Arabidopsis thaliana: one gene and its partner. The protein of the gene in region 1 interacts with the protein of each later gene in a pairwise test. Each region holds a gene or a part of one and is shown on either strand. Other genes may lie near its edges.

Region 1 (16,593 bases):
TGTTCAGAAATTGCTAGTGTCTACTACGGATGGAAGTTGAACACACTGTATTTTTGCAGTAGATTTTAGCCAGTATCTTCTACTTAGCTGACTAAATCAATCAATGGTATCATTTCTCTTTTTTTGAAGGTTCTGTCCACAATGCAATGAAAGAAGGCAGGCAAGCAAAAAGCTTGATCTGTGGAGGCTTCCTGAGGTCTTAGTCATACATCTAAAGAGATTCTCATACAGCAGGTCCATGAAGCATAAGTTGGAAACATTTGTTAACTTTCCCATTCATGACTTAGATCTAACAAAGTATGTAGCCAACAAAAACCTATCTCAACCTCAACTATATGAGCTCTATGCCTTGACCAACCATTATGGTGGTATGGGCAGCGGACACTACACTGCACATATCAAGGTCAGTTCGAACAACTAAACTTTTTCATTCTGTTTCCATTTCTGAGTTTCTTGCTTGTTTTTCTTATGTTTATTATCGAATATGGTCTGCAGCTTTTGGACGACAGTAGGTGGTATAACTTCGATGATAGCCATATATCACACATAAACGAAGATGATGTGAAGTCAGGTGCTGCATATGTGCTCTTCTACAGGAGGAAGTCTGATGCAGGCGGAAAAATGACATAAGTCTGCTCAAAACGACAATCTCCGAGGTAACAAATACCAAATTTAATTCTAAAAAGATTCTTAAAAGAAGTTTAGTTAGATCACTGAAACGTAGTTGTGGACTTGTGTTTACGCGTCTTGCAGGTTCCAGTAGTAATCTCTACACAGCTGTCTGCAACTTGGAACCCATAAGAGTGACAATTAGGTTTAGATCTATTGTAAATTAGTGGAGTTGGGTTCTGAGTAGTTTAATTAACAGAGATGAATATTGTCTCTCCTTCTCTGTCAGTTTCTGTATAGATTGTGTTTGGCATAATAGCAGTACTGTTATTGTCACTGACACATAATCACAAGACTCAGTCTAAATATGTAGTAGACAAGGTTTTTTATCTAGTTTGCCCAAAAACAAAAAGACAAGTTTCTTAATGGGCTTTGTTGAACGAATGGGCTTAAAAAATCAACGCTAGCCTCCTTGATATCTCCACCAACCGTGACCGGGAAACATGAAAGAACTTCCTCTTCCTAATTAGTAAGAACAAGAGTACTTAGGGTTTTGATATAAGTTTGTGGGTAGCGCTTTGTCAAAATCTATTGGGTTTGGTTTTTCGTCCAGCAGTCATGCAACGAGAGAGGAGTATGAAGAGGAAGAGAAGAAGAAGAGGAATCAAAGATATGTGCAATAGGCACGACTGCGAGATCCCTCCTGATCTCATGATAGAAATTCTTATAAGATTGCCAACAAAGTCCTTTATGAGGTTCAAGTGCGTCTCAAAGCAGTGGTCACCCCTTATCTCTGGTCGATATTTTTGCAACCGTTTATTTACTTGTGTAACACGACAACAACAACAACAACCACGTCTATACATGTGTTTAGTGGCCAAAGACAAGCAATGTGTTCTACTATCATCAACGTCACCGGACAACACTTGTTTTGTACTCGTCGACCAAGATTTGAGCATCCCAGGCTACTTCTTCGCCTCTGTTCCTGGCTTGCTGTGTTTCCAGTTCGGAACAAAGGCGTGTATCTATAACCCTAGCACCAAACAACTCTTGACCTTACCCTCCGTAAAATCCGACATCACAGCTCAACAAGGTCAACTGAAGACTACCCAATACTATATTGGACGCGATCCTGTTAATGATCAATACAAACTAGTCTGCACTATTCTGATATACTCGAAATTGTTTGCAAACATGAGCTCAGAGCATTGGGTCTTCACACTAGAACTTGGAGGTTCCTGGAAAAAAGTTGTTCCACTGGGAAATTATCATCCCCATGCTCCTGCCACAGCAGGACGGTCTATCGATGGAGTAGTACATTATCTAGCCTGGGTTGATTTGTACAAGTGTGCGGTTGTGAGTTTCAACATTAGGTCTGAAGAGGTTACTACCTTCCTATTACCTCGGAAAATCTGGGATGTGCCTGTGCCTGCACTGATGATGAAGGCGGATCTTATAGAGTATGATGGAAAATTAGCAATTTTCAGTCATAGCTACCTTAAAGACGAGGGTTTGGTAGAATTATGGGTATTGAAAGACGCTGCTGGGAAGAAGAAATGGTCCAATATGATCCTGGTTTTGCAGCCTTGCCAAAGGCATTTAGTCCATGGCATTGATTTGATCGTAAAAGGTACAACTCAAGACGGCAAGGTTATACTGTCACCCTTGGAGATGCGTTCTCAGTTCTACATTCTGTGTTATGATGTGCAAAACAATGATTTGAGAAAGGTTGAAATCACAGGAGTACCACGCCTTTGGTTGCATAAAGAATGCAATTTTGACTTGAAGTTTATGGATGAGAGTGAGAGCTTCATCTACTTGGAAATTTGACCAATACTTTTGACTTTTGTTTGTGTACCAGATAAGAATACAGTTAAGTTTTTTTTTTTTCTTCTGTCAAGATTAGTCTCCTACCCATAAATCCACCGAACCCTCGTTAACATTTATTATCAATCAAGAACACAAAAGAGAAGCACTCTACTAATTTGAGAAAGCGCTTTATGCTTATCTCGGTTTCATGAATGACAGTTGTTGTTTATATGGTCAAAGTTAAAAGGGTCTGCTTCATTCTTCACCATCTTTTGTAGAGACAACAAGATGATGCCTGCTCTAACAAACAAGCATGTGCCAAAAAATAATCATCTGTGCTCTTCTATACACACTAATCTTGTAAAACTCATCAAGGCTCAAAGCATAAATCGATGTGTCATTATTATCTGCAAATCCGAGCTTTGGCCAACTGCTTATAACAGAATGAACCAAACCAATTATAAATTGTGGTTTAGCATGTGATTATGTAAATAGAAATATGAAAAATCTTTTCTATATAAAAATGTAACTATTCTCATAAAATCTATTTAAAAATAAAAAAACGAATTTTATTTTGTTTTTCCTATTTTTTCGTCGAGAAAAACTTCATAAATAACGAGGCCTATATTGGCCCAACAATATTATATAACATGCTAACAAAATAAATAACAGCCCACGTAAAAGAGATAAGAAGGCCCATCGTGGCCCAACCGTAATATATATATATATATATATATATATATTCTTATCAACAAACTGTAATGCGTTGCTCTTCCAACTGCACAAATTCGAAACCCCTAATATCGTCGATTTCCGTATTCAAAATCCAAAAGCACACAAGAATAAGAGACCCCTTTGCTCTTTTGGTTGTAATTTTGGTTTTGAATAGAATTGAGCTGAAGAGTTAAAAGAGATGAAGAGAAGAAGGAAGGATCTGAAACAAGCGGCGGAGTCAGAGCAGGAGGAATGTCAGAGCATTGCCCAGGTCGTCTCTCTCGGAGATTCCGATCAAATTCAGGTATAAATACGCCAATTCGTAGCGATTATTTTCTTTGGCTTAAAGTTTGAATTTTGACTTGTGGTTTTCATGTTATAAGTTTAAACCGTTCTTATTTGCTACTATTTTTGGTCTAGCCGCCACCCAACAAGAAAGAAGAAGAAGATATATGTGAATACTTACTGCAGAATTTTGATCTTGATCATGTGATGGAAATTCTTATGAGATTTCCTTTAACCTCCCTGACGAGGTTCAAGTGCGTCTCTAAGCAGTGGTCATCCCTCATTTCTAGTCGATATTTTTGCAACCTTTTATATACTACGGTCACACGACAACAACCACGCCTATACATGTGTTTAAAGGATGACGGCGGGCACCGTGTACTGCTATCTATATCATCACCGTCTCGAGGCAACACTTCTTTCGTGGTGGTCGAGCAAGATTTGAGCATCCCAGGGATGGGAGGCTTCTTCTTGAACGTTGTTCGTGGCTTGATGTGTTTCTCTCGCAGAAAAAAGGCGCGTATCTATAACCCCAGCACCAAACAACTCTTGACCTTACCCGCCATAAAGTCCGACATTGTAGCTCAACAAGGTCAAACGAAGCATCATCCCCGGTATTACATCGGACACGACCCTGTTAGTGATCAATACAAACTAGTCTGCACGGTTGCGATATCCTCGCTATTGCCACGTTTGGGTAATCTGAAGTCAGAGCACTGGGTCTTCGCACTAGAAGCTGGAGGTTCGTGGAAAAAGGTTGTTCCACTGGAAAATTATCGTCATCATGCCCCTTCCACGGAAGGACGGTCTACCAGTGGATCAGTAGTGCGTTATATGGCCTGGCCTGATAATTATAATTGTGTGGTTGTGAGTTTCGACATTAGGTCTGAACAGTTGACTATCATCCCAGTACCTAGGGAGATCCACCTTGACGAGGTTGTGCCTGCAGTTACGATGATGGCGGATCTTATAGAGTATGGTGGGAAGATAGCAATTTTCTATCATACAAACCTTAAAGACGAGGGTTCCGCGGATTTATGGGTTTTGGAAGACACTGGGAAGAGTGAATGGTCGAAAAAGACTCTGGTTCTGCAGCCTTGTCAAAGGCATTTAGTCGAAGACATTGAATTGATCGTAAAAGGTACAACTCAAGACGGCAAGGTGATCTTGGCACCGGTGGAGATGCATTCTCGATTCTACATTCTGTATTACAACTTGCAAAGCAATGACTTGAGAAAGGTTGAAATCAAAGGAGTACCAGACTCTTGGTTTGATAAAGAATGCTATTTCGACTTGAATTCTATGGATAAGAGTGAGAGCTTCATCTACTTGGAAACTTGACCAAGACGGCAAGACGTTTGATTTCCTTTTTTTTTTTTTTTTTTTTTTCTGTTTGTTGTTTAAGAATACAACCGAGTTAAATGATATTTCTAGTTACTTGAATAAATTTTATCTTCATGCTCTTGATTTTATTGGTCTCCTGCTTAAATGCTTTTTTCAAGCAGTAGCATATTGAGGATAGAATCTTTTTTGTAGAAGTTTGGATTTTGGAATTAGCAGATTATTTTTAACGTTATCTCCATTCTCTTTCATTATCAGCACGATGTGTTCAGTCAGTTGTTTGGTATTGATAATGATCTCCATACTTCAAAACTCATTTTGTTAAAATAATGAATGAAGAAACTTTTTTCCATCAAGCAAAACACAAAAGAGAAGCAGACGTTGTTTTTGGACTTCATCCATTTTCTTAACCCAATCTCTCCCTGTAGTTGCTATAGTTTCTTCTGTCTTCTCAGCTTGTATTTGAAATGGGTACATCACGTCTGCTGATTCGAATTTAGCCTTGATAGTTAATGCTTATCTTGGTTTCATGAATGGCTGTTGTAAAAGGGACTGCTTTCATTTTTCACCATCTTTTGTTGAGACGAGAGACAACAAGATGATGTCAGTTCTAACAAACAAGCATGTGCCAACAATTAATCACTTATACACACTAATGTTGTAAAACTCATCAAGGCTCATAGCATAAATCGATGTGTCATTATTATCTGCAAATCCGAGCATAGAATGAACCAAACCAATTAAGGATAGTGGTAAATTAGCACGTGAACCAAGCGGTTAGCTTGTGAATTGTGATTATGTAAATATTAATTTATTACTTCCTTAATTTTCCTTTTTATTTTCCTTTTCCTTTTCTACCATTTATTATGTTACCTTTGTCTTTGGTCATAAAGATAAAGACTACACAAAGTAGGTCTCTCTTCCGACTGCGCAACTTCAAAGCCCTAATATCGATTTCTTTTGTTTGGTCGTAACTTTAGTATTAAAGTTTGGATTTTTTTGAATTAAATTTGAGCTGAAGAGTTAAAAAGATGAAGAGAAGGAGGAGGGATCTGAAACAAGCGGCGGAGTCAGAGCAGGAGGAATGTCAGAGCGTTCCCCAGGTCGTCTCTCTCAGAGATTCCGATCAACTTCAGGTATAAATACGCTTCCTTTATGCAATCTCCCTAATTCGTAGTTTTTCCTTGGGATCAATGGCTTGGCTTAGTTTGTTGTATTTATGTACTGCATGAAAGTTTGAATTTTTACTTCCCTTTTCATGTTATTGTTTTGAGTTTCCAATTGCTGTTTTGTTGTCTCTTTGAAGATAATGGATGAAAAAGGAGACAACTCATTAGCATTGCTTCCCGCCAAACTTCCTATGCGCATGTGTAGCACACGAGGTACTTTTCTTGCTTAACAAGGTTGCTTGATTCTTCTCTCAAACTTGTACAAATCTCTCTTATTTGCTGTTTTTTTTTTTTTTTTTTGGTGTAAAAGAGAGAAGAAAATACACGTGCGAGATTCCTCCGGATCTCTTGATGGAAATTGTTATGAGATTGCCAGCAAAGTCCATGGTGAGGTTCAAATGCATCTCCAAGCAGTGGTCATCTCTCATCTCTTGTCGATATTTTTGCAACAGTTTATTTACTTCTGTCACACGAAAAAAACAACCACATATACACATGTGTTTAGTGGATCACGGCGGGCAACGTGTGCTGCTATCATTATCATCAACGTCTCCAGACAACACTTGTTATGTGGTCGACCAAGATTTGAGCCTCACAGGAATGGGAGGCTTCTTCTTGAATCTTGTCCGTGGCTTGTTGTGTTTCTCAGTTAGAGAAAAGGCATGTATCTATAACCCCACCACTAGACAGCGCTTGACCTTACCCGCAATAAAATCCGACATCATAGCTCTAAAAGATGAAAGGAAGGATATCCGGTATTATATCGGGCACGATCCTGTTAATGATCAGTACAAACTAGTCTGCACGATTGGGATATCCTCTGCATTTTTCACAAATCTAAAGTCAGAGCATTGGGTCTTTGTTCTAGAAGCTGGAGGTTCGTGGAGAAAGGTTCGTACGCTGGAGAGTTACCATCCTCATGCTCCTTCCACAGTAGGACAGTTTATCAATGGATCGGTAGTATATTATATGGCTTGGCTTGATATGGACACTTGTGCTGTTGTGAGTTTCGACATTACGTCTGAAGAGTTGACTACCATCATAGTAACTCTAGAGGCCGGGGATGTGGCTCTGCCTGCAGGTAGGATGAAGGCGGGTCTTATACAGTATCATGGGGAAATAGCTGTTTTCGATCACACCCATCTCAAAGAAAAGTTTCTGGTGGATTTATGGGTATTGAAAGACGCTGGGATGAAGAAGTGGTCGAAGAAGAGGCTGGTTTTACAGCCTTGTCAAAAGCATTTAGTCCATGATGACATTGAACTGGTCGTAAAAGGTACAACTCAAGATGGCAAGGTTATCTTGGCACCGGTAAACATGTGTTCTCAATTATATATTTTGTGTTACGATATGGGAAGCAATGACCTAAGAAAGGTTGAAATCAAAGGAGTACCAGACATTTGGTTTGATAAGGAGTGCTATTTCGACTTGAAGTACTCTCTGGATGAGAGTGAGGACGTCATCTACTTGGAAACTTGACCATTGACTTTGTTTTTCTAGCTGTTTAAACAACTGAGTTAAAAATAAATTTGAACTTTGTCAGAGAGTTAATTTAATTTTTAAAATTTGCAAAGGAATGTTTCTCAGAACGAGCTTAAATTAGTCTCTTTACTTAAATGTTTTGCTACAAGCAGTCACATAACATCTCAAGAACAATAGAATCTTTCTGTGAAAGCTTGTGATCAAAATAGGTTGTTTGGTGTTGTGAAGAGAGATTAGTCCCTTGAACTCGTGATCGTTTATTTTATCAATCATGAACACAAAAGAGAAGGAGTATATTTTTGGACAGATGCACATGCAAGACCTTTTAATACATCCAAAATCAAACAATGTTAACATCTTATGTTCACTAATATATATGATCTTTTCTAGCTACAAGCATGTCTCTCGGTTAGCACAATTAATTTGTTAGGTCTGTCATAATTGTCTGTTGTTGGTGTGAGGCTTAAACTAATTAGTTTAAACAGAGACAGAGACTCAAAAACAACTCATGATCTGATCAATATCTCTGATATATTATAGACACGTCACCACAGTTATAAGAGACTGGAGTCCAATAAGATTACCAAATTGCTCAAAATACCATTTTCATCAAAGAAATAATAAGAAAAAAAGGAAAAAGATGAAACAAAAGAAAAAAAGACATGAACTTTGGGTAGGCCCAAAAGTTTGAGTGTGGAAATGAAGTTGCGGGAGGGTGATTAGATGACCATTTTGATTTGTTGCCCTCTTTTTTTCCCATTTCTCTTTACTACCCAAATACGCACCCACACTTTTGACCCACACCCACTTTCTCTATTTTTCTTTCTCAAATTTCTTATCAAATCATGCGTTTTTCTTTTTTTTTGAATATTTTTTCATAAAAAAACCCACCCCTTAAACATTTAGAATCTTGAGTATAATTTATGTCGGCTATTTATGTCTATACACATATAGACACACAAGTTTATATCATATTTTATAGTCCGAACATTTTAAAGTAAAAATATTAAGCTAGATCTCTTAAAAATTAAAATACTCAAATTCAGGTTAATATGTATTAGGAGATCTAGCTAAATATCTATATGTATGACAACCAATTATTACACTATAAATTTATCTAAAAATTTATAGCCAAACATGTATTGTTTGGTTAAATTTCATAGTTTGTACCAAAATACAATCTATAAGAGTATAATGTAGCAACTTAAATGTTTAAATGTGCACCTACAGAGAAAAAAAATACTATTATAAATTGGTTATACGTAATTGTTTTATTAATGATCATATAGTTTTGTTTCCTGCGATGATCATATAAAAGTTAAGATAGGAAATAATAGATTTGATCATCTAAAAAAAGTGGATAGAAAAATATGTGGAGATAATCAGGCATCGTGGTTTATTGGTAAAGGAAACTCGACTGAGGCGCCCATCATCCGGGTTTGATTCCTGGCCATTAAGAAATTAACATGCGTACTTGCTCTAGTGTCTCAGACCATTAGTTCCAGCGGATTTTTATGTGGAGGTTTAAAAATCCCTAATCGCGGGTTTAGGCCCAGTAAGATAATAAGATTACTGTGTGGTCTGGATATTTAGTTATAAAAAAAAAAAAAAAAAAAAAAATGTGGAGACAGACGTCCGACACCGTGCATGGTTCAGCTCGTCACATTGATTCTATAGTTTGGTAAAAATATATGAATCATATTGAAAACTCAAAGTTATTTAATTAGAGTTACGAATGATTTTTACGTGACAAATCAAAAGTCAGATACATATGCCAGATTTTGTCAGAAGGATTTTGTGTAAGCATATAATTCCCAATCGCAGAGACGTAAAATATTCGATTCGTTAACTAAATCGTAAGGAGTTGACACTTGTCTCCGACAGCGGCCAGAGTCGATTTACGTGGAATCCACACATCCGCACTTGCATGACACAAACTGCACCTTTTCATCTGTTTTTTTTTTTTTTTAATTTGAAAGTTTTACACCCAATGGTGCTAATTTTAGTAGCCACATACATAACTATAATATTAAAATGTGCAAGAGATCATTACATAATTGGAACGAAATTTTGATCATGAAACATATGGTTTACACTAATACACGAATAGAAATCCTATTATGATGAGTTCATGCATGATACAGTGGTTGGTATACTTCACTATAAATTTATATGATCTTGAACTCGAATATAACATAGAATGATCATATATATATATATATATATATATATATATGAAGACATTCCAATATTGTTACTATTGTTAAATAATCAACATCATATCATTTGTACAACACTAGTCAGTTGGTTCAATCATAATACTTCTAAAGTACTTATGTTTTTATACATGCAGACGAGTGAGCGTGAGACATTTCCTCTATTTGGATAAGTATATTGAATTATTAATTATTAACATAATGGATAGTTTAAATTTCAAAAAAATAACAAAAAAAATAATGATGGATAGACTAGAACCTCCAATTAAAACAATGCAAATCAAGATGTTGAACCGATCGAACCATCAAACTTTTTCGGATTGCATAATAAAATAATTCGTCTTTGTTCTCATTCTCACCGTGCATATACATATCAACAAAGTCATGCGACCTAATATAATACAGTTGAATCTATCTAATTTTTTTAAAAAAAATTAAGATACGAATTCCACACAAACCTTCTCCAACTAAGTAAAGTAGCCACTATTGTCACTTAAAGTGACATTAATGCATATTCTATAAAAGATAATGGATGCCCAACTAAACATAAGTGAAGTATTTGGGATATATAATAAAACAAAAGAATCCAATGAGTTATGCTATGTGGTTAGCTTTTGTTCACGAATTTATATATTGTATAATATATGAGGTTTACATTTCGGATAAGCAATTCTAGGCAGATCGATGATATGTACGCAAACATGTATAGATGTATTCAAGAATTGAGTATATAATTGCTTATCCGAAATGTAAACAACAGGTATGAACATATATAATTAAGTGCCCAAAACAGAACATATATTCAAGATTTTCTTGTACTAATAATATTCTTTTTTTTGGTAAGGTGTTCTAATAATATTCTGATTAGATTAACTTTTAACCATATATAACTCATAATTATTTTGTTACGTAACTCTAAAAATATCTGGGGTTTTATTTCTTTGTGAAGAGATCGATAACAGACAAGACATGTAACACATATTTTGTCCACCTTAAATTTCTAAACATGAAATGTAGTTTTGAGATATTGGCCGGTCCCAATGTACGTAGGATTGAACCCAATTGATTATTGCTGCCACGTGGAACTCAATCTGTCCACTTATGCTTCTTCATTGATTTAACCTCTTATTAAAGATCGATGATTTATGACCATGAATGTAGTAATTAGGATAGAGGTGGACATACGTCAGATTCCACACGTATATAACCCCATATTAGCATTACAATGAGTTAATCTTTTTGCAGAGGTCGGTCGATTTGTCAAATTTCTACTATACATTAACCAAAAGATATTCTACTATATATTAAATAAAGCAATTAGCTTATGATGGTGATGAGTCATGAGACCACATATATCGAAAACCACGGTAGACTAACAATCGCAACAATTTTTCTGTGGCTTTCAAGTTTCTTTTAATCTTTTAACAATACGCTAATCCGATCCGGCTAATTTTAGTTCAGTTTGGATTTTGTGATTTTATAGACAAGTCCACAGTTTAAAAAAAAAAAAAACCATGTTTAAAGCCAATTGCATGAATAAAATAATTTACATGCATGTTAGAATTACGTTTTAGTGTCCATATGTACTTATTAGTTTTTTTGTTTTTTTTGCAACTACAACATATACTAATGTTGTTGTTTTTTGTGCAACTAAAACATATACTACTATAAACATGTAAATTTTGATTGTTAAGAAATGAGGTGATGTTAATTAATCACTTGTTCCACACTGATCACACTTTTAACCTCGACTTTTAGTAGCCACAAGTTTTATTTAAAATCCTAATATGATTGGTTTCACGAAGTCATATAAACAGAATATATATATGTAGAATGTTTTATCCACTTACTTTAGAGATAATGAATTCATGACACCCAATTCTTATGCCGAATCAAACCGGAATAATTAACGCTAACGTCACCGAAAAAAAATAAAATAAAAATAACAAAAATACAAAGGAAGAAATCAGAGAACACTGAACATATCCGAATAATATGCTATATATACAAAGAACCTCTCACCACTTGGTTCTCAGGAAAAAGCACATTCTCCAAGTGTTTCTCTCCTCTCTTTTCCTAACTCAGTTTTCTTATATACATAACACTAATTTGACAATTTTTTTGTCCTCGAGGATCCTAAAATAACTCCAAAACTTTGATTGGTTTTTCTTGCTCTAAAACAAAAACAAAAACAAAATATTAAGATGGGATTAAGGATGTCAGAATCAGCTAAACCTTATTTTGCAATGGTCTGTCTTCAGTTCGGATACGCAGGTATGAACTTAGTAACTAAAACCGTCCTAGACCGCGGTATGAGCCATTACGTTCTTGTTGCATACCGCAACGCTTTTGCCACAGCCGCTATCGCACCCTTCGCTCTTCTCTCCGAAAGGTACATATTTCTTCTAAAGAAATCGATTCTCGCAAGACTTAGATTTTTTTTTTTTTTTGGTAGTAATAATTATGTATTGGGGATTTTTTTGTAGGAAAGTGAGATCAAAGATGACGTTTCCAATATTCATGCGAATATTTCTTCTTGCTCTTCTCGGGTTAGTCTTCTAACAGAACCGTTGATATCAAGAAGATTTTGTAATAATTACGATTAAGGCTAACATGGAAGGTTTAATTTGAACAGGCCGGTGATTGATCAGAACTTATACTATATCGGTCTAAAACTCACATCACCAACGTTTTCCTCCGCCGTTAGCAACATCGTGCCTGCAATTACCATTATCCTTGCCACACTTTTCAGGTAACATACAAAAAGCAACTTTTTTATTATTTACATTTATTCATTTAACCAAAGAAAAAGATACGTTTTATTATATTTTGGTACGTGGATATGCACCAATTCAAAAGTAGATGTATAGTAGTACAATTAGTGTATGACGATCGATGTCATAAATTATGAATATTGATGTGTGTGTTTTATGTAAATATTTGTTTTAAAGGATGGAGAAAGTGGAGATGAGAAAAGTAAGATGCCTGGTAAAAGTGATGGGGACGTTAGTGACAGTGGTTGGATCCATATTGATGATATTCTACAAAGGTCCTTTCATTAATTTCTTCCGGTCTCACCTCACGGCCGCCTCTTCGCCGCCGACGGCTGACTATCTTAAGGCTGCCGTCTTCCTACTCCTCGCTTCCCTCTCATGGGCGTCGTTCTTTGTTCTTCAGGTATGTATCAATTATATATTGATCCTGTGTATAATATAACTCACTTCTTACATCACTAAAAAACGTATAATATAGTTTTTAGGATTAGTTTTAAATTTCCATCAACATAGGAAAATATAGTTTATGCACCAAACCATGTAGGGGATACGTAAAAGTAATATAAAAAATTTGAAATTTTAGATATAGTATTAATAATGTTACTGGGATGTTGTTTCTAATTTTTCATGTTATATAATTTTTAAAAAAATAATTGGGTTAACTATATCTAAAATAATAATATGATTGGAATTTTTTTTCACTGTTTTCGTAATATATAAAAATATAGATTTAACGAATTAGGCTTTTATATTTTGTTAAATAGGCTGCGACTTTGAAGAAATACTCAGCCCATCTCTCAATGTCAACAATGGTGTGTTTCATGGGAACGTTACAGTCTTTAGCCCTAGCCTTCGTAATGGAACACAATCCTTCTGCTTTGAACATCGGTTTTGACATGAACCTTCTCGCTTCTGCCTACGCGGTTCGTCCTTTATTTCATCATGCCACTTTCACAAATAACAAAAAGATCAGTTTACAAAAATATTGATACTAACATTGTGATTGGTAACGGTTACAGGGAATAATGTCGTCGAGCATAGCTTACTACGTTCAAGGACTTATGATGCAGCGAAAAGGACCGGTCTTTGTCACTGCTTTTAACCCTCTTATCGTTGTCATTGTCTCCATCATGAGCTTCTTCGTTCTCGGTCAAGGAATCTACCTTGGAGGGTACGTTAACAACAACCGGTTAATTATGATATATTCCCGGTTTAGTCTTGGCTCTGTCTTGTTAATTAATCAAACCGAAATTTGTTTTCTTTTTTCAGGGTTATTGGAGTGGTTGTTTTGATGGTGGGAGTCTACGCCGTGTTATGGGGCAAACATGTAGATGATGACGGCGAAGAAACACGCCATGAAGATAACGTTGTAGCCGTTAAGTGTTGTAGTGGCAATAATGGTCTAACGATAATGCCGAAAATCGACGAAGCTGATGAGGAGGATGTTGAAACCGGAAAGGCTACGTCGGAGAAGGAGTCGTCAGTTCCGGAAGTGGTGGTGGTAGTTTTTTGTAGTGAAAATGTGCATAGCGTTTCACGACCTAACTAGATGGGTTTTCAATTTTTTTTTTACTTTTTGTTAGAAGCAAAATTGGGGAGAAGAGTAACTTCTTTTTTTGATACTTGTAAGTTTGAATTCCTTTTCCCGTGCTTCAAAAGTTTTATATTTTATTTATAGTTTTGATTTCTTATTGTAACTAAGGGATTCGATTTTGATCGTTGACTAGCTATACAATCCCGTGTAATCACTACATTTGGTATTGGTACGCATCTGTTACATACCATTTTTACGGCGGTTTTAGTGAACTATATTATAAAAAAAAATCGTAAGTTTTTTTGTGTGTGTGTTAACAATGTACTCACTACTCACTGTTCCATATTTTTGATGTACGTATATCGAAAACATTCTGCCAACAAATGCAAACATAACAAAAGTCAAAAACAATAACATAACCGGGAATTAAACCAAAATGTAATTGCTTTTTATTAGTGTCAGGCCTTCTGCTTAAAAATATTCTCGGCCCAGAGCCCATTAACACCTATCTCAATTCATATTGAAGAAAATGACTATATTACTTGACAAAAACTTTAGTCAGAAAAATATGGAATCTCTTTCGGTACTGCTAAGTGCTAACCTTAAATAGTATAGAATTCTTAGTTCATTCTCAAAAACATAGCTATATGTAGATTATAAAAGTTCGATATTATTTCCTGCAAAAGATGTTATAATGTTACAACTTACAAGAAAATGATGTATATGTAGATTTTATAAACTGGTACCGTAATTCATAAAAGATGGTGGTGGGTATGTATCAGTAACGGAACTTACATATGCGTGTGTATTACTATGTCTATATGGTGTATTCCTTTGTGTGGAACAATGCACGTCAGAGTTGTTTATTTTCTTATAGAATTTAAGGAATCAATTATTGGATTTCTCAAGGTGAAAGTGGACTTCTTTGCACGCAAGGTCTAGTTGCCGACTTGCCGTTGCATGTAACATGATTGTTGAAATAAAGTGAATTGAGAGAAGTTTGGCCAGACATTTTAAATTTAACCCAAAAAAAGTAGGGCCTAACACAAAATATAACCTCTCTTTGTTCAAAGGAAATAACACCTACGTCTTATAATTGAACCAAACATTGAATCATTGAACTCACCTATAATAATTATAATAACACGAATTCACAAGACACCTAAAAGAAAAAGTTCACAAAAACAAATAAAAATTTACCTCTCACCAAACACACTCACCTACCCGTCTGGTCCCACTGACCCCAACATACAACACCGACTCTCTCCCACACCAATTTTTTTTTTTGGCGTTTTAAAACAAATAAACTATCTATTTTTTTTTCTTACCAACTGATTAATTCGTGAATAATCTATTATCTTCTTCTTTTTTTTGTGACGGATGATTAGTGCGTGGGGAAATCAAAATTTACAAAATTTGGGATGATTCCGATTTTTGCCATTCGATTAATTTTGGTTAAAAGATATACTATTCATTCACCAAGTTTTCAGATGAGTCTAAAAGATAATATCATTTCACTAGTCACTTAAAAAAAGGGTTAAAAGAACATCAATAATATCACTGGTTTCCTTAGGTGACCCAAAAAAAGAAGAAAAAGTCACTAGTTTCTTTTTGGAAATTTTACTGGGCATATAGACGAAGTTGTAATGAGTGAGTTTAAATTTATCTATGGCACGCAGCTACGTCTGGTCGGACTATACCAAGTTACCAACTCTCTCTACTTCATGTGATTGCCAATAAAAGGTGACGTCTCTCTCTCTCTCACCAACCCCAAACCACTTTCCCCACTCGCTCTCAAAACGCTTGCCACCCAAATCTATGGCTTACGGGGACATGTATTAACATATATCACTGAGTGAAAAGAAGGGTTTATTACCGTTGGACCAGTGATCAAACGTGTTTTATAAAAATTTGGAATTGAAAACATGATTTGACATTTTTAATGATGGCAGCAGACGAAACCAACAACACTAAGTTTAACGTTCGTGGAGTATACTTTTCTATTTTCGAAGAAGACATATAACTAAGCTGATTGTTATTCTTCATAGATTTCTTTTCACTGCGAATAAAAGTTTGTGAACATGTCACCGTTTGAACACTCAACAATCATAAGCGTTTTACCTTTGTGGGGTGGAGAAGATGACAATGAGAAAGTCGTCGTACATATAATTTAAGAAAATACTATTCTGACTCTGGAACGTGTAAATAATTATCTAAACAGATTGCGAATGTTCTCTACTTTTTTTTTGTTTACATTAAAAATGCAAATTTTATAACATTTTACATCGCGTAAATATTCCTGTTTTATCTATAATTAATGAAAGCTACTGAAAAAAAACATCCAGGTCAGGTACATGTATTTCACCTCAACTTAGTAAATAACCAGTAAAATCCAAAGTAATTACCTTTTCTCTGGAAATTTTCCTCAGTAGTTTATACCAGTCAAATTAAAACCTCAAATCTGAATGTTGAAAATTTGATATCCAAGAAATTTTCTCATTGGAATAAAAGTTCAATCTGAAAATAGATATTTCTCTACCTCTGTTTTTTTTTTTCTCCACCAACTTTCCCCTACTTATCACTATCAATAATCGACATTATCCATCTTTTTTATTGTCTTGAACTTTGCAATTTAATTGCATACTAGTTTCTTGTTTTAC
Region 2 (17,433 bases), 6.5 Mb from region 1:
TTACTAGATAAGTTCCCCCGTACAATGTTTTTAACAAGCTAAGAAGTTAAGTCAGATAAAATATGGGTTTGTAATTTAATTTAGATTGGTCTAGCTAGTTTTTATTAGTTTTCCATTCAACGTTTATTTTTTTTAAGTAGGTCTTCTCGTGGTATGTCATAGATTCTGTTTTTTCTACATCGATTATAGTTATGTTATACAATAGTTTTGAGGGTTCATCTAATGAGAATCTATGAAAATCCACAACATGACCTCTCAAATTAGCATCTAAGTATATAGAAATACACTAAGTCTCCTTTAGCTTAGTAAAATGCTATATACACATGTATTATAAATACTAGTTGTAATATTATGATTCGATTATGAGAATTTACTTTCTGATTATGAATAATATGGTATGAGAGCAAAGTGCTTAACAAACTTTCTCTCTTTCTCGTTCTTCTCTATTTTCCCGGAAAATTAAAATTTTCTTTATACATGTGTTATTTTTTCAAACCGAAATATACCATATATATATGATACATTATTGTTAGATTTTCTTTTATATCATTACATCATATTTCTAAAATATATTTTTCTAATATGAAAAACAAGAGATATTTTCCCTATATTTTATCTTTATTTTCTTCACATTAAAATAAAATAAAATCATTTGATAATAAAATAATTAAGGATTTTTGTCGGTTTTTGTGTCGGCAGTTTATGGTATAATATCTTATAATTTGTTTCTGTTTTTTTCCTCTTCACTTTACTATAAATGTGAGAGATTTTCCCTATATTTTCCCTTTATTTTCTTCACATTAAATAAAATACAAAGAAAGATCAAATCATTTGATAATAATATAATTAAGGATTTTTGTGTCTGCAATTTATGATATAATATCTTACAATTTGTTTCTGTTTTTTTCCTCTTCACTTTACTATAAATGAGAGAGATTTTCCCTTGATTTTCTTCACATTAAACAAAATACAAAGAAATATCAAATCATTTGATAGTAAAATAAGTAAGGATTTTTGTCCATTTTTTGTTTCTGCAATATATGGCTTAATATCTTACAACTTGTTTCTGTTTTCTTCCTCTTCACTTTAATATAAATGACTCTTCACTTTAATATAAGTTACATTTTCCTATATTTTATCTATGATTTTCACATCATTTAAAGTAAAATATAAAGATAAAAATATATGATGATAAAAAAAGATATACAGTATAAGATGTTAATTTTGATTTTTTGCTACATGTATAGCAGATAGCCCTTTAATTAGAAGTCTATCTCTACTACATACTGAAGTATGAAGTTTATGATTGGTGTCGACAATCAAGATGTTTAGTGACCCCCAAAAATAATTATATAAAATCTTTAACGATTCTTGTTTAGTAAACCAATATTATCTGAATTAATGATGATTTAAACGGCATTTTTTAACATGAAAATTAAACCATAGAAGGAAAGAAGTTTATTTGAGCGATGATCCTAGACATTCTTAATATTGTTCTCAAACTTTGGAACAAAACTTAAGAAGAGGAACTGTGTCTTCCCAAATCAACTCCAAGATAAACGACTCATTCATCTCAACACCATTAACCTCGCAGAAACCTTTTGAACCTCTTCCTAAACTCATTGTTCCGATCTTGTCCATCAGTAGTGAAGTACGCCATTTTGCATCGTATCTATCAACCATCGTTATCTTCCCCGCCTTTTTGATTCCATTCCGCTTCATGAATTCAAACGGAAGATTCTGTAGATACCATCATCAGATTATATATCGAGAGTATTAAGTGGAAAAAAAAAAACAAGAAAAAAACAGAGTTTTCTTGTGAAACTTACAAGTTTACTTGAATGTGTAAGTGTTAAGGTCACAAATCGGTTTTGGCTTGTTGAGTTTTTCTCTTCTGTGGAAACATATTCTTGTTTAATAGTTTGTGAACATTGTCCTTGCCTTATATCTTCATTGATAGGTTCAGCAAAAGGAAGAGTATCTTTCTCGCTAGCTTTAAAGGAGTCATTACAGTAAACTTCTTCCCCAAGAAACTCATTTTCTGTGGCTTCCATGCCAAGAAACTCTTTTTTGGTAACTTTTAAACTCTGTCCATGCCTTGTGTCATTGCTAGGATCTGCAGAGGAAGAAAGTGCTTCTTGTTATTCAATTTTATTTCAATATTTTTGTTTCTTGAAAGAATAAAGCATAAACAACTTACTAAGTTTGTGTAGATCTTCACTGTTCAAGGGTAACAACTGGAGCACAGGTGTTTCTTCGTTATGGACTAATTTGAATTTGAGCAAGTCTCCTGGTTTCTTCCCATTAGCCACACAGAATCTTCTCCAACCTCTTATCGTTAAAAACCGGCCTGTATGTGCCTCATGTTTCACATCTATCGTCCATGATTCTCCCTCTTCATTCATTAGACACATCTGAAATTTCTTCAACAAACCATTTGACATAATGAACGTCTTCGGAAGATACTGCAGTCAAGTACAGTCACCATGAATATCATTAAAACACCTCTCAGTCAAATCAAAATCAATATATGTAAGTCAGGAGTATCATAACCAGTCTATCTCGGCTTAGATTTGAAGCCGTGACAGTGGCTACAAAAGAAGAAAGGTCCGGTGAAGAAGGAGCTGCTTCTGTTTTTCGAATCTTGTGTCTTGGAAGACTCTCTGTATCAATTATAGAATCTGATTGAGATTTTTCTCAATAACCAACGGATTATGAAAATTAACTTACGAAGTTTGTCTAAATCTTCAATGGTCATAGGGAACAACTGTATCATAGGTGTTTCTTCATTTTTGACCAATTTGAATGCAAAAACGTCTCCAGGTTTCTTCCCATTAGCAATACAGAAACTTCTCCAGCCTCTTCTCATGTAAAACCGGCCGTAATTATATGCCTCGCGTCTCAAGTCTATCTTCCATGATTCTCCTTCTTCATTCATTAACACAATCTGATATTTGTTCATCAGACCATTTGACAATGCAAACTCTTTCGGAATATACTGCAAATGCCGCCACAAGCCAAGTTAGATAGAGTTATCAAGAATATACAATAACATAAAAATTACTGTAATGAGTAATATGGAAGTAACATACCAATGTATCGCGCTTTAGATTCGAACCCGTGACAGTGGCCACAAAACAAGAATCTAGTGAATTGTCTGGTGCAGACTCAGCTTCTCTCTTTAGACTCTTTTTCTTACTTGAAACATTCTCCGTACCACAAAGTTTCTCTGTTGATAGATTAAGTAATATTCTTAGACTCATTCTAAATGTGCTAATGATATTTAATATGAAACTAAGGTTACCAATTTTATCCTCTTCAAGGGTATCTTCTCCGTATTGAATCTCACAGCAACTTGGTCCTAAAGCTGTGACATGGAACACTAACTCTCCTTCTTGTCTGAAAACAACAATGTCACCAACTCGGAGATCATGTGCGATTGTGAAATCTTCCCAACCATTAGAGAGTCTCCGGCCGTCTATCTTCACTTTCCATGTCATCTCCGATGCATCTGATCTGAGCTCAGCCGTTTTTCCTACGTTAGTTCCCACTAAGTACTTCAAGAAGAACGCCACAGGAATGTCCTGAAACAGCATGCTAGATGAGTTACAAACAGAAGTAACTTAACTGGTCGGAGAGAGTATAGAGAAACAGAGTACCAGGTGGTTGGTGAAACCGGGAAGAAGTGGTTGGAAGAATTGTGGGTTGATCGGAGAATAGAGAAGTGGATTAGCCATATTCAGACGTTGAATTTTTTTAAGTTTTTCTTCTTCTGAGCGGAGAGAAGATGAACTAACAACTTTGTATCCCTTACTTCTGTAATGTAAAAAAATAACCTTTCTCAGCTTTCTATACAAAACGTCAAAGAAACTTTCTCAGCTTTTTCTATAAAGCAATGTTAAAAAAGACCTTTATCAGCTTTTTCCAAAGACTATATATTGTTTTCGAAAAAAACAAGTTTTGACTGAGAATAGTGTTGGGATTGAACATAAAGACTCTGATTGGTTATGGAAAATATTCATCAAATAAACTTAGCAAATATCAATGAACGAGAAAAATAAATCTTGAGAAGACATTGGTCTTTAACCAAAAGAAAGAAAAAAAGAAGAAGAAAAAGATCTGAAACTAAATATGCTTAATTCAACACGTAGGTACCATAATAATGTAAAAATAGTTTACAAGAAATTAAATCTTAGGAAGTGAAAACATTCATGTTTGCTATCAAAATATCATATGGTTTTGACAGTAAATTAGTTAGTTACGTTGTGGATTCGTTTTTGTCAAAAAGAATAAGAATTCGATTCTTTGTTTGCATTTACGTTTATATTTTTCAAAAAGTGAGTTTATTGTAAAACTGAAAAACGTTTTGTATTTTTAACAATGTAAAAGAATATTTTAAGTACACGCAAAAAAGGCTTAAAATAATAGTGTGTTCAATCTTCAATGTAAGCAACATTTCTCTTGAAACCACAAACAAAAATCACGAGAGGGAACTATTTGTACATCAGTATTCAGTAGCACTGTAGGAATACGTATCACGTGCATCTAGGCTATCTCTTTATTCCCCACAAAGCAAAAAAAGAAAAAATCCAAACTAATCACTACAAAGTACAAAGCGCAACGCACCAAAATATCCATCTTTTCTTTTGTTTGTGAACAGTTCCATCTATTGTCTCCTTTTCCAGTGAAAACCAATATGTATTGGGTCTGAATGGAAGAACAGAGGAGTTACGGATATAAAGCAGAGCAGGACAAACACAATTGTATCTTAATAAACCAATATATCCAGTTATTCACCTGTACTTGGTTTTGTCCTACTACAATAATAGATTTGCATTTGAATGCATTTAAGTATATTAAAAAGTGGTTAAACTAACACTATTACTACAATTATCCAAATTATTTTCGTTTCTAATATTTATTCTTTCTATTTTCTACTTCTATGTTAAAATGTCTTAATTGTCAAACTATGAAATCCACATCTCACTTTGCGCTGAGACCACATCTTTTTTTCAGCATAAACGTGAAAATTTCTTTAGATTATATTAACTGCATATAAGTATAACCCAAAAAAGAAAAAGTATAACCCTAATTCCAGATAAGTTAATATGCTACTAGTCGTTAGCACATAAGAATTTATAGCATTAGGTTTAATGTCTTGCATAACACGTAATAAAATCTACCTCTATTGTAACTTTGATAGTCTCTCTTAAATGGGTCATTTGTTTCTGAAAATCCTTATTTACAAAATAAAGTACAATTCTTCATTCAAAAGAAAAAAAAAGTACAATAGTTTGGTATAATAATAGCATATGTTTTTTTGTTAAATTAAAGACTGTCTTGGTCATGAACTTGAGACATATTTAATTGTGTCTTCCTCTTGACAGGCATTTGTTGACTTGATGAACACGGACTCATCTCTACCTTATCGAGGTACGAAACCTGGTCTTTCGCTAGGAAACAATATGTGAAATTTCCGAGTGCCATAACACACACAAGTAACACGCCAACAAACAGAAACAAGAAACTGTCTATGTCAAGCTGCCTAGAGGTGAAAGAGGGATTTGGATCTGGATTAGTAATTGGATCAGGACAGCTTTGTTCTTTCTTCTTGAACCATGCACGCTCGAGCTCCATTGCCTTTGGAGACTCTGCTACTTTTAAGATGGCCCTTGAAACATCGGCCACTAGAGGTGATCCGATTGGAAAAACCTGCGAAAAAGGACTTATGATCTCTCACCATTTAATGCAATTTTCACATAAGTTTTGATATAGGAACTTACAAAGCCGAATCCATCAACATTGAAGGGTTCTTCAACCATTTTGTATGTGTTGCAAAACTGTCCAAGAAAGAGTCTCAAGTAAGGTATTTCCAAGAAAGCTCCAGAGACACCACCTTTTTTTGGTCCTTTACTTAGAAGCTCATCACATTCTTCTGCAGTATCAAAGGGCACAAGGCTAGATTGCGGGAAACCTCTTTCTTTAAGCTTTCCAAGGATGAAGGATGTTCGCTGATAACCCACTGTTTCTCCTTTTTCAAGCAAACTACTCATGCTGGTTATTGTTGGATTTAATTTCTGTGATGTCAAAAGCGATGCCAAACTCGCTGTGTAACTCTGGGTTAACACGAGAACGAGAAAGTACCATGCGATAACCAGGGCCCTCGCCCAAAAGCTAAATACTCTTTCTCCTGCAGACAGGGAATCGAGAATAAGAATCAAGCAAGGTGCATGATATATAGGAACATATATATGCTGACATGTAGAGAGGGGAGATTAAATGTACTTGGAGCAAAAACCATGGTAGAGAAGGCAAACCAACAGATGGTACTAGCTTGGAATCTAGGCGGTCCACTAAAGTCCGGATTACGCTTATATTCGAGAACCCATACAGTACAACCGACAAGGAAGAAAGAGATAAAGGAAGTCAACCATAGTTTCCATGACAAAGGTTTCATGAAAAGTATATAGTCTCTCTTTACTGGGTCTGTCATTTCAACGATCAATCCGACACCTGATTTAATAAATGGGAATGTGAAGTCGACGTAAGAAGACCTGTTCACCAATATGGTTGTATCTCCCACAACCGCATCATATCTCTGTGACAGAGAAGCAAATAAGAGTTCACTTAGTATAGTTATAAATGCTATATTGATGAATGATTAGTATGTGCTCATACTCACCCCGAGGTACACTTGGTAGACCAAGTCGTTGTAATTACCGGCTGTTTTTCCGTCGGGTTTTTCGAAAGGTATGAACTCATATGAGACGTCATAAGGCAGTTCTCGAATCACAGCCTCAAAGAAATCTATGCAAAAACCTGTGACTACAGTTGAATTGGTAATAGGATCCCTTGTGACTTTCACAAGATCAGTGTAGCCGGTTCTTTTGGGAACTCCAATACGCAACTTCTTCCCCTTAGTCGGGATCTGCCATCCTTTCGGAACAGAATCCGCCTCTCCAGGCCATACAATGTGTTTAAGATGATCTTTCCAAGTAGATAAAGCGCTTATGCTACTTGCTTGCTGATCAAGTTTCTTCACAAGACCATTTCCCTCCTTCCAAAATCCTATTGATTTTTCTCCGGTATTGATTATATTGACAATCTCAAACACCGATGGTTGCAGTTGCCCGCGGAAAAAACGAAACTCTCCTGCAAGTCCTCTGAACTGAACTGTTAAGAGTGTTTGGAGAAGCTTTGGACCGAACTGAGATAAACCAAGAGCTTCAAGTTCAGAAACATTCCTCCCTGTATCCACCACTTTACTGAAAGTCATGTTATTTGTTCCAGCTTCTTCAATGGCTACCGCTAGTGCGGTGGTAGCATCATAAGCCCACAGACCATAGACACTCAGCTCCACCCGTGGGAATAAACTTCTCCATCGAGATCTAAACTTCTCAAGATCTGGGGATTTTGGAATATAAGTTTTAATACCCAATACCCCCTCCATAGCCTCAACAGCCGTCTCATTTATCAAACTTAAGTCATCGATAACTCCATTGGTAAGGATCCAGACATATCCTGGTTCCATCAAACCAAGCTCTTTTGCTTTAATGAAGAATCTTGAGGCAAGATCATAGTACATGTGGACAAGGAACACTCTTGTGGGCATGTTCATCATCTTAAGAAGCTCCACGGAGATTTCATGATCAGTGGCATTGATAGCGATAACGGATCTATAAGGTATCCGGACATTAATATCTTGTAAAGCATCGGTAAGACGAGGCATTATACCTTCACCAAAGGTGTTGTCAATGTAAACTGGCACAACTTCTCTCCATCCGAACAATTTGATGATGGCTTTTATTGGTTGAACTTGAAAGGAGTCTTCGTACGTAGCACGTAAGAAGTATGGACTACGAAGGGAAGTAAGAATTGGGCTTGTTGCAGAATAGGAAACAATAGGAACCCGGGACTTTTGGCCAATCTCGATCAGGAAGTGAGCTTGCATAGATGTCCATGGCCCCAAAATAGCCTTCACTTGTTTGTTCTTTATCAGGTCAAGAGCTGTGACAATGCCAAAAACATTAAAAAAAATCATATTTATTTTGTTTGAAGTAAAACTATCTTTGGAAGTAAGTAGAAACATTTTTAGTTGGAGAAAATAATTATTTATATATTCTAATTAACTCTAATTATATTGTAGTATTTATTATACTAGGAATGTTCAATGGGATTGCCAATCACCAAAAGTTTTGCAAAGTAATCATTTTTTACACATTTGCAAAATAATCATCACTATAATTCTTGTCAAATCCAATAAAAAAAAGTTTCACAATTCTTGTCTTCTGAAAATAACTGTCATTTTATTTACATCTATTTACAAATATACTATATATTTTACCATTAATTATATGTATAGTAAAATAATCATGAGAGTTCATAAGATATATTACATTATGTATCCTAACCAGGGTCGGTGTATTACATTATGAAACAAATGTTCTTATGTCCAAAACTTTATTTGGGCAAATTTAAGGGTCCAAATGCTTTTCTTATATATAATTATGTTTTTGTTTTTGTAATTATGTTGTTAAAAGGGCCCAAATTTTTATATATCAATTTCTTTTTAACATATATATAGATATATGGTTATTTAAAACAAAAAAATAGTATTGACAAAGGCCAATTTTTAAATTTGTACAGGATCCGAACCAGTCCTGATCCAAATAAAATATATATTATATTATATATATATATATGAGAAAGCAAGAGGCTGGAGAGGAGAAGTTAAAAAACCTGCAATCGCGGCACCTACAACGTCACTTTTGGAGTCACCTACGTTGACAACAAGCCTTGTCTCAAACTGGGGATTGGAAGAGTAGAAATCACTAATAGACATGTTGATGCAGAGCATGACAACCTTCGAGTGTGAAGTATCGACATCTGTTACAACACCGACATCGACTAGGGTTTTGCCGTTGTTCTGTCCTCTGTTGAATTCCAAACAGAAGAAGAAGACGAGCAAGATGCAGAAGAAAAGCTTTTCGGTCCTCATTTGGAGATTTTTCTTTCTTCTTTTAGGTGATAAGTGATAGATGATGCTTATTGGTTTAAATAATGCACACATATATAGCAAAATTTTAGATAGTTGCTGAATTTTTTAATATCTCATCCTAATAAGCAATGAAACATTGTGAAGATAAGAAGCAAATACGATTTCAAAGTTCGCGGCAATGTTTAATACAGATATTTCTGTATTTAGATGGTTTTGTGCCATCGTGTGCATGTAGTTTAATCAAAAATAAAGAAGGTTTCGTGTTTTGTAGGAAAGGACTTAGCATTATATATTGCAAGAAAATAATGTTTTGTATACACTTGACACAAAAAAATAAACATAAAATACAGTACAGCTTGATTGAAAGTAACAGAAAAATAAACTTTATTATCTTTCTACAATTTACTTGTAATTTTCTTATTGCAACTATAGTTTACTTGTATTGTGTATCTAAAGTTATGACATTTTCATTTCTATGAAAGTCGAGCAATAAATTATTATTCAGTCGGAGAGTTATGTTAGGACTTAGAAGTAATCCAAAGACTGGGCAATTAATAAATTTAACATGAAAATAATCATGGTAAAACACAATCAGGAGTGTAATAAAACGTTGACTGATTAAGTAACAAAAACGAAGTAAAAAATCTTGTGACTTTGATTGATCTCAGAAACAGAGGAAAAGAAAAGTAAAACAAAGAACATGTCAACAGCTTTTACAGTTCGACACCGAGCCACTTTGTGCAGTTATCAAACTCAATGTAGTCACTATCTGATATCATAGTCTGGACCACGCTTTTCGTGCTGATTTGATTTTCAATGCCTCTTCCTCAATACGCAAGGACTAAGGAGAATATCAATGACCATTTCAAAACCCTCGCCCTCAGAGTTCAAATCAACTCTTAGAATGTTATTAATTATAGATATCTTCCTCGTACTTTTAATACTCGAGCAGATTGTTTAGCTAAAAAAACTCGGGCTCGAAATAATATTTTCTCCCATGTATGCACATCAGTTCCTGAATGACTCTTTCTAGCGGAGAATTTCTTCCCGATAAGTTAATATAAATAGTGTTTGTTGAAAGAAAAAAGAATGTTATTAATCTATTGTATATTTATATGTGATTGAAAAAACAGTTCGAAGATAATAGTTATATTGTGTCTTAGTTTCGACTTTTGCAAAATTAATTGTATGTATTTTCTGAAACTTGAGGTTAAAGTTGTAAAAGATAACAATTCGTTTTTGCAGAAAAGCATTTGAACTAAGACAAATAATTTTCTCTCAATTCTTTTTATTGTGATAGGTGACATCCAACTCAGCACAAACGAGACATATGGCATCCGACTCAATTGAAATTCCACACATGTCATCTTACTCAACATAAACTAACAGTTGTTGAGTAACATTATTGTGATCAATGTTGATTCCGGCTAAAGCCTGGAAATTTATGGAAATTATTTAAAACTTTTGTTGGTGTATAAAAACGCACCACATTTTTTGTTTAGGTTAATATTTTTTGTACTCTATATCGAAGATAAGTCAATATGCTTACTATAAATCTTTAGAAAATGCGAGAAATCCTAGCCCTAGGTTTACTGTCTTGGGGGAACAAGTAACATAATCAACCTCCTGATATATAAGAATGTGGATAGTCCTTACATGAAAATTGTTGCTTTCATCGTTTACGAAAAATTGATTTTAAAAATAACTAAATAAACAACATTAGTTTTCGAACAAATGAAAAAGAAAACACTACAGTAGTTTTGTTTGATAAAAACACACGCCTCTTTGTTAGTTAAATTAAAGAGTCTTGAGACATTCAAACATTATAGTTGTTCCCTTGGGTCTTGATGAATATCATCAGCGGGTGGGTTTACAACATCTTCAACAGGCGCTTCTTCGTTCAACAAACACCAAATACAACCCATTAATTATGATTCTGAAATTAACACCAAATACTAAGTTTGGATATGTAATTCAAATTTTTTTATAGTTCAGGTTGAAAAATATACTCAGCATATAGTACAAGTATGAAAATACCATTTTCCCCACATGTAAGAACCCATAGCCTTAGGTTTACTGTCTTGCATAACACGTAACGAAAATCAACCACTATAGTAACTTGATAGTCTCTTATACATTATATGGATCACCTATTTCTGAAAATCGTTATTTACACAATAAAGTACAATAGTTTGGTTTAATAAAAACAGACGCCCTTCTATGTTTTTTTAAATTAAAGACAGTCTGGGTCTGTTTGGTTTACTTGCACGATATTCCTAACTCTTAACTCCATACCGTAGTTTGTCTGGTTTGTTGCTTTATTGCTGTTTTCAGGCATCTCTTGAGAACACAAGCATTTCTCTATGTCGTTGATGTACGAGTCGGTGTCTCGTTTTAGAAACTCTTTCCACAAATCTTTCCCTTTTGTCTTCCATAGGAAACAGAATGTGAATTTTCCGAGTGCTAGAACGCAGACAACAAACACAACAAGAAACAAAAACCAGAAACTGCCTACGCCGAGCTGTATAGCGGTAACAGTTGGATTTGAATCTGGATTGGTAACTGGATCAGGACAACTTTGTTCTTTCTTCTTGAACCAAGCGTGCTCGAGCTCCACTGCCTTTGGAGACTCTGCTACTTTTAAGATGGCCCTTGAAACATCGGCCACCAGAGGTGATCCGATTGGAAACACAAAGCCGAATCCATCAACATTGAAGGGTTCTTCAACCATTTTATAAGTGTTGCAATATTGTCCAAGAAAGAGTCTCACGTAAGGTGTTCCCAAGAAAGCTGCAGCCACACCACCATTTTTTGGTCCTTTTTTCAGAAGCTCATCGCATTCTTCTGCGGTATCAAAGGGCACAAGGCTAGATTGTGGGAAACCTGTTTCGTTAAGCTTTCCAAGGATGAAGGATGTTCTCTGATAACCCACTGTTTCTCCTCTATGAAGCAAGCTACTCATGCTGGTTATGGTTGGATTTAGTTGTTGTGATGTCAAAAGCGACGCCAAACTGGCTGTGTAACTCTGAGTTAACACGAGAAGGACGAAGTACCATGTGACAACAAGGGACCTTGCCCCGAAGCTAAGCACTCTTTCTCCTGCTGACAGCAACTCAAGAGTAAGAATCAAACAAAGTAATATAAACATATATAAGATGACATGTAAAAGGTGGAGATTGAATGTACTTGGAGCAAAAACCATGGTAGAGAAGGCAAACCAGAAGATGGTACTAGCTTGGTAATTAGCTGGTCCACGGAAGTCCGAATTGACCCTATGTTCAAGAGTCCATACACTAATTCCAACTAGGAAGAAAAAGACTAAGGTTGTCAACCATAGTTCGATTGACAAAGGTTTCAAGAAGCTGAATTTGTCTCTTTTCACTTCATCTTTCAATGGGACGATCAATCCCACACCTGATTTCATGAATGGGAGTGTAAAGTCAACAAAAGAGGACCTGTTCGCCAGTATGGTTGTATCTCCGACCACGGCATCAAATTGCTTAGATGGAAAAGAAAACAAAAGTAATTCACTAAAATGGTTTTGCTAATGCTATTTTTGAGGGATGATTACTGTGTGATCGTACTCACCCCGAGGTACACTTGGTGGACCAAGTCGTTGTGATTACCGGCTGGTTCACCGTTGGGTTTTTCAAAAGGAAAGAACTCATAAGAGACGTCATAAGGCATTGCTTGAATCACAGCCTCAAAAAAATCTATGCAAAAACCTTTGACTACCGTTGAATTGGTGATAGGATCCCTTGTGACCTTCACGAGATCAGTGAAACCGATTCTCTTGGGAACTCCAATGCGCAACTTCTTCCCATTAGTCGGGATCTCCCATCCTTTCGGAACAGAAACGGCCTCTCCAGGCCATATTATATGTTTAAGATGATCTGGCCAAGTGGATAAAGTACCTATGCTTCGAGGTTCTTGGTCAAGTTTCTTCACAAGACCATTTCCTTCCGTCCAAAATCCTATTGACCTTTCTCCGGTTCCAATCATATTGACAATCTCAAACACCGATGGTTGCAGTTGCCCGCTGACAAAATGGAAGTCTCCTGCAAGACCTTTGAACTGAACTGTTGAGACCGTCTGGAGAAGCTTTGGACCAAATTGTGATAAACCAAGACCATCAAGTTCAGAAACATTCTTCCCCGTATCCACATTACTGAAAGTCATGTTATTTATTCCCGCATCTTCAATGGCCATGGCCAGTGCAGTGGTCGCATCATAAGCCCACAATCCATAGACATTCAGCTCCATCTGTGGGAATCTCCTCTTCCAACGTGATCTAAACGTTTCTAGATCTTTGGATTTTGGAATATAAGTTTTAATACCCAATACCCCCTCCATAGCCTCAATACCCGTCTCATTTATCGACCGTAAGCCATCCATAACTCCATTTGTAAGGATCCAGACATATCCTGGTTTCATCAAACCAAGCTCCTTTGCTTTAATGAAGACTGTTGAGGCTAGAGAAGAGGACATGTGGACAATGAACACTCTTGTGGGCATGTTCATCATCTTAAGAAGCTCCACAGAGATATCTTGATCCGTGGCATTGAGAGGGATAACGGATCTATAAGGTATCCGAACATTAATATCTTGTAATGAATCAGTGAGACGAGGCATTATACCTTCTCCAAAAGTGTTGTCGATGTAAACTGGCACAACTTCTCTCCACCCAAACAACTTGATAATAGCTTTTATAGCATGCACTTGAGAGGAGTCCTCATATGTAGCTCGGAAGAAGTATGGACTGCGGAGAGAAGTAAGAGATGGGCTTGTTGCAGAATAGGAAACAACAGGAACCCGAGATTTTTGGCCAATCTCGATCAAGAAATGAGCTTGCATAGATGTCCATGGCCCCAAAATAGCTTTCACTTGCTTGTTCTTTATCAGATCAATAGCTATGACAATGTCAAAACCAAGAAAATTCGGGTTGAGTATGTCAAACGTGAACATAGTTTACATATAGTAACATTAACATACATGTATAGAGAGAAAGCGAAACGAGAAAAGAAGGTACCTGCAGTTGCGGCACCTACAACGTCATTTTTGGAGTCACCAACGTTGACGACAAGCCTTGTCTGAAACTGGGGACGAGAAGAGTAGAAATCGGCAAGAGACATATTGATGCAGAGCATGGCAACATCCGGGTATGAAGTACCGACATCTGATACAACACCGATGTTGACTTGGGTTTTGCCGTTGTCCTGTCCTCTGCTGCTTTCCAAACAGAAGAAGAAGAACAAGAACAAGAAGCGGAAGAAAAGCTTTGAATTTTTCATTTGGGGATTTTTCTCTTTTTATTTTAGGTGATAATTGATAGAAGCTTGCTTATTGGTTTGTGTTTGCAGTCTTCACACACACATATATATATATATACCAAAGTTTTGGATAGTTGTTGAATCTTTTAATATCTCATCCTAGTAAGCAGTGAAACAACATATAAAGATAGAAGCCAATACATTTCAAAGTTCGCAGCAATTTCTAAAACAAATATTTTTCTGTATCAAGGGGTTTCGTGATATTTGTAGGAGATGACTTAGATATATTGTAAGAAAATAATGTTATACGTATGACGTAGGACATATGACGAAAAGTTAAAACAATATATAGAATTCAAGTTGATTGAAAGTAAACTAAAAACATACTTTATTGTGTTTATACAGTTTACTTTTTATTTTCTTATTGCAAGAATAGTTAACTTGTGTTGAGCAACTAAAAGAATGACCTTTCATATCTATGAAAGTCAGCAATTAAATTTCAGTGGTAGAGTTATGTTGGAAGTAATCTAAGACTGGGCAATTAATTGAATTTAAAATGAAAATAATCTTGGTAAAACGTCGACTGATGAAGCAGCAAATCTTGTGACTTTGATCTCAAGAAACAAAATAAATAAAAAAAATAAAACATCGTCTAAGGGTTGCAGATTTTACTGTTCGACACCGAGCCACTTTGTGAAGTTATCAAAGTCAGTGTAGTCTCACTATCTGATATCATAGTCTGGTACCATGCTTTTCCTGCTGCTTTGATCTTCATTGCCTTCTCCTACAATAAACAATGAGATTAAGAAGAATAATATCACTCACGCAAGCCAGATCAAAGATTCTAATTTCTAAACTCATCAAGTCTAAACAATCCCTACGAAACCCATTATCAACAAAAGAAGGCAAATAATTGTTGATCAGATAGTTCCACTAAAGATGATTCAATCATAGAAAGAATTCAAATATCTTTGAAATGGGTTTCCTCTTCCTCTCGAGCTTCTCCTTTTTCGACTTAACTCTCTGAGCTTCAGCCAACAAAGACATCCTCCTCACAGTCTTAGCATAAGGGTTAAGCTTCAACATCACATTCAAATTCTTAAGAGGATTCTTCTTCAACACAGCACTCTTCACATCTTTCTCAATCGGTCTAACCACACTCTGAACCTCATCAGAATTAATAATCCTAGCCAAATCAGCATTCATTTTACCTAGACCAGATCTAATCCCAAAAAAATTGTAATTAGCTCATTAATAATATTTCTAGATGTGGGTGGAAATCAAGATAATAAGAAAATATGGTAAGAATTGTGTGTTTTCATGTTGTAGGGTCTTAAAAGGAATTATCATTCACACTGTTGTATTATGAGTTATTTTCCGAAAATATACAAAAATTAGCTTATATAAAGAAAACAAAAGAGAGCCGAGTCGAGGTCAAGAAAAACATCTAAGTTAGTAATTTTAGAGTTGGATCCTTTTCACCCCGAGAGAATCAAAGCAAAAGAAAATTCAAAGGTTCTCAAAACATAAAACATGATGAATAGCGCATAGCAAAAAAATAAGAGATTGTACATGGATTAATTGGGGAATAGTTTTAGGACAATAAGATTGAAATCACAATCTAAATTTTAAAAATAGTCAAAATATACATACAACAAAAATAAAATATTAATGTTATTTTATGGAATAAAATTAAAAATCTTATATTTTGAAAGAGTGAATACATTTTTGGTTGGGAAAAATGTTTTAAAAATCGCGAATTTTCAAATTCGGGACGGAAAAAGCATGAACTTTCGATCTGTCATCAAAAACCCAAAATTTGGTTTGATTTTCTACTAAAATAGTTAAGTGTCGTTGACCAGAACATTTTTCGGAAAGTTATCTCTCTCATCTTTTAGTTAGCAAAAATGTTTCAGCATTGTCTAAAATGATTTAGTCAACAAAACTTAACCATTTTATTATTAAGTCAAACCAAACTTTGGAATTTAAATGATATTTCGAAAGTTTATGTTAATTCCGTCCCAAATTTGATATTTTGCAATTGTTTCTACATTTTTCCCATTTTTTTATTTTAATACTTCAGTATTACACAATTGGATAATTTATTAAAAGCCCAATAGAAAATGACATGAGAGTTACCCTCCATACTTTATTAAAAGCCCAATACAAAATGAAGCCCAATAGATCTCCATCTCGACCAGATTCCATGCTTGAGGCAAGAAAAATATTTTGTTCTCTTCTATCATTTCCGTTTTGACAAAGAAGTGACGGAGAGGACGACGATTTCGACACTTCTGTTCTCTGCAGCTATTAGGGTTCTAAACTTGTAATTCAAAGTTTAGGTACATAATCTTCTTCCCCCTTTTGGTACCAAATTAGATATTCTTTGTGATTCGATTCTCTGTTTCCTATATCTGTTAGCAAATCTTGTTCTTGTAGTCGGTCTTTGTTTATGAATTCTGGAAAAGAAAACCAGTTTTAGATTAGTAAATTGTTCATCGGTGTTGTTATGCTTTTACTTTTTTTCTTTGTTCGTGTTTGTTTACATTTTACTAAACCCTAAAAAGCTTAAATTTTTCTTACAGATTTTAGGAAATTGCAGCAATCAGCAAAACATGGCACCGAGAAAGAAGACATCATCTATGATTTGGGTATATACTCTTTCTCTCCTTTTGGTACAAAAATGACTTACTCGTGTGTATGGAAATGGTTGTTCTCATGAACTCTCCAAACCTTATCGGGCTGTGTTCTTGATAGTACAAGGTCATGTGTTTTCCGATATTCAATCTGCAGCAGATGCGCAATGGCCTCTCATTGGTGGTGTTCCAAGCCACCTCGATGGCTAGACTGTACATTGCAAGATAGTAAGTCATGTTTATCTCTTATTAATGCCTTGGAGCCAAAGTTGAGCCACACACGAGATGAAGTCAGCTTCAGGTATTATTTTTCAGCATAATACAAGTAGAACCATTTTTGATATGGCTAGTGTAGTGCAAGTCTACTGTAACCTTTTTGTTGGGGATTGTGCTTCATTATCAATACTTTATTGGCACATATTGTTAAATGAAAGAAGACACAAATTCTTTCTTCTTTGACAATTTCTATCCAACTTGGTTAACTACAACGATACCGTTGATTTTAAAACCTTAAGCACATGAAACCCTC

The links.
Region 2: the proteins of UMAMIT11 (region 1) and GLR2.2 interact in a protein complementation assay, tested with the Arabidopsis thaliana proteins (one large-scale study listed by BioGRID).

What each region holds. Positions count from the first base shown.
Region 1 is NC_003071.7:17,060,751-17,077,343, reverse strand, and holds UMAMIT11 (nodulin MtN21 /EamA-like transporter family protein), read left to right. Parts: upstream 1-11,530; 5' UTR 11,531-11,829; coding exon 11,830-12,017; intron 12,018-12,111; coding exon 12,112-12,174; intron 12,175-12,260; coding exon 12,261-12,377; intron 12,378-12,576; coding exon 12,577-12,802; intron 12,803-13,163; coding exon 13,164-13,322; intron 13,323-13,418; coding exon 13,419-13,570; intron 13,571-13,668; coding exon 13,669-13,948; 3' UTR 13,949-14,246; downstream 14,247-16,593. Other genes in the region: UBP5 (ubiquitin-specific protease 5), read left to right, coding at 130-403, 496-630; AT2G40925 (F-box and associated interaction domains-containing protein), read left to right, coding at 1,228-2,439; AT2G40920 (F-box and associated interaction domains-containing protein), read left to right, coding at 3,332-3,436, 3,553-4,758; AT2G40910 (F-box and associated interaction domains-containing protein), read left to right, coding at 5,790-5,894, 6,065-6,140, 6,238-7,406.
Region 2 is NC_003071.7:10,511,552-10,528,984, forward strand, and holds GLR2.2 (glutamate receptor 2.2), read right to left. Parts: upstream 14,509-17,433; 5' UTR 14,290-14,508; coding exon 14,028-14,289; intron 13,909-14,027; coding exon 12,587-13,908; intron 12,498-12,586; coding exon 12,185-12,497; intron 12,098-12,184; coding exon 11,232-12,097; 3' UTR 10,997-11,231; downstream 1-10,996. Other genes in the region: AT2G24700 (Transcriptional factor B3 family protein), read right to left, coding at 1,498-1,740, 1,830-2,116, 2,201-2,465, 2,554-2,663, 2,731-2,998, 3,093-3,229, 3,305-3,584, 3,660-3,737; GLR2.3 (glutamate receptor 2.3), read right to left, coding at 5,329-5,712, 5,784-6,190, 6,286-6,598, 6,683-8,007, 8,740-9,070. UniProt on the Arabidopsis thaliana protein: Glutamate-gated receptor that probably acts as a non-selective cation channel. May be involved in light-signal transduction and calcium homeostasis via the regulation of calcium influx into cells.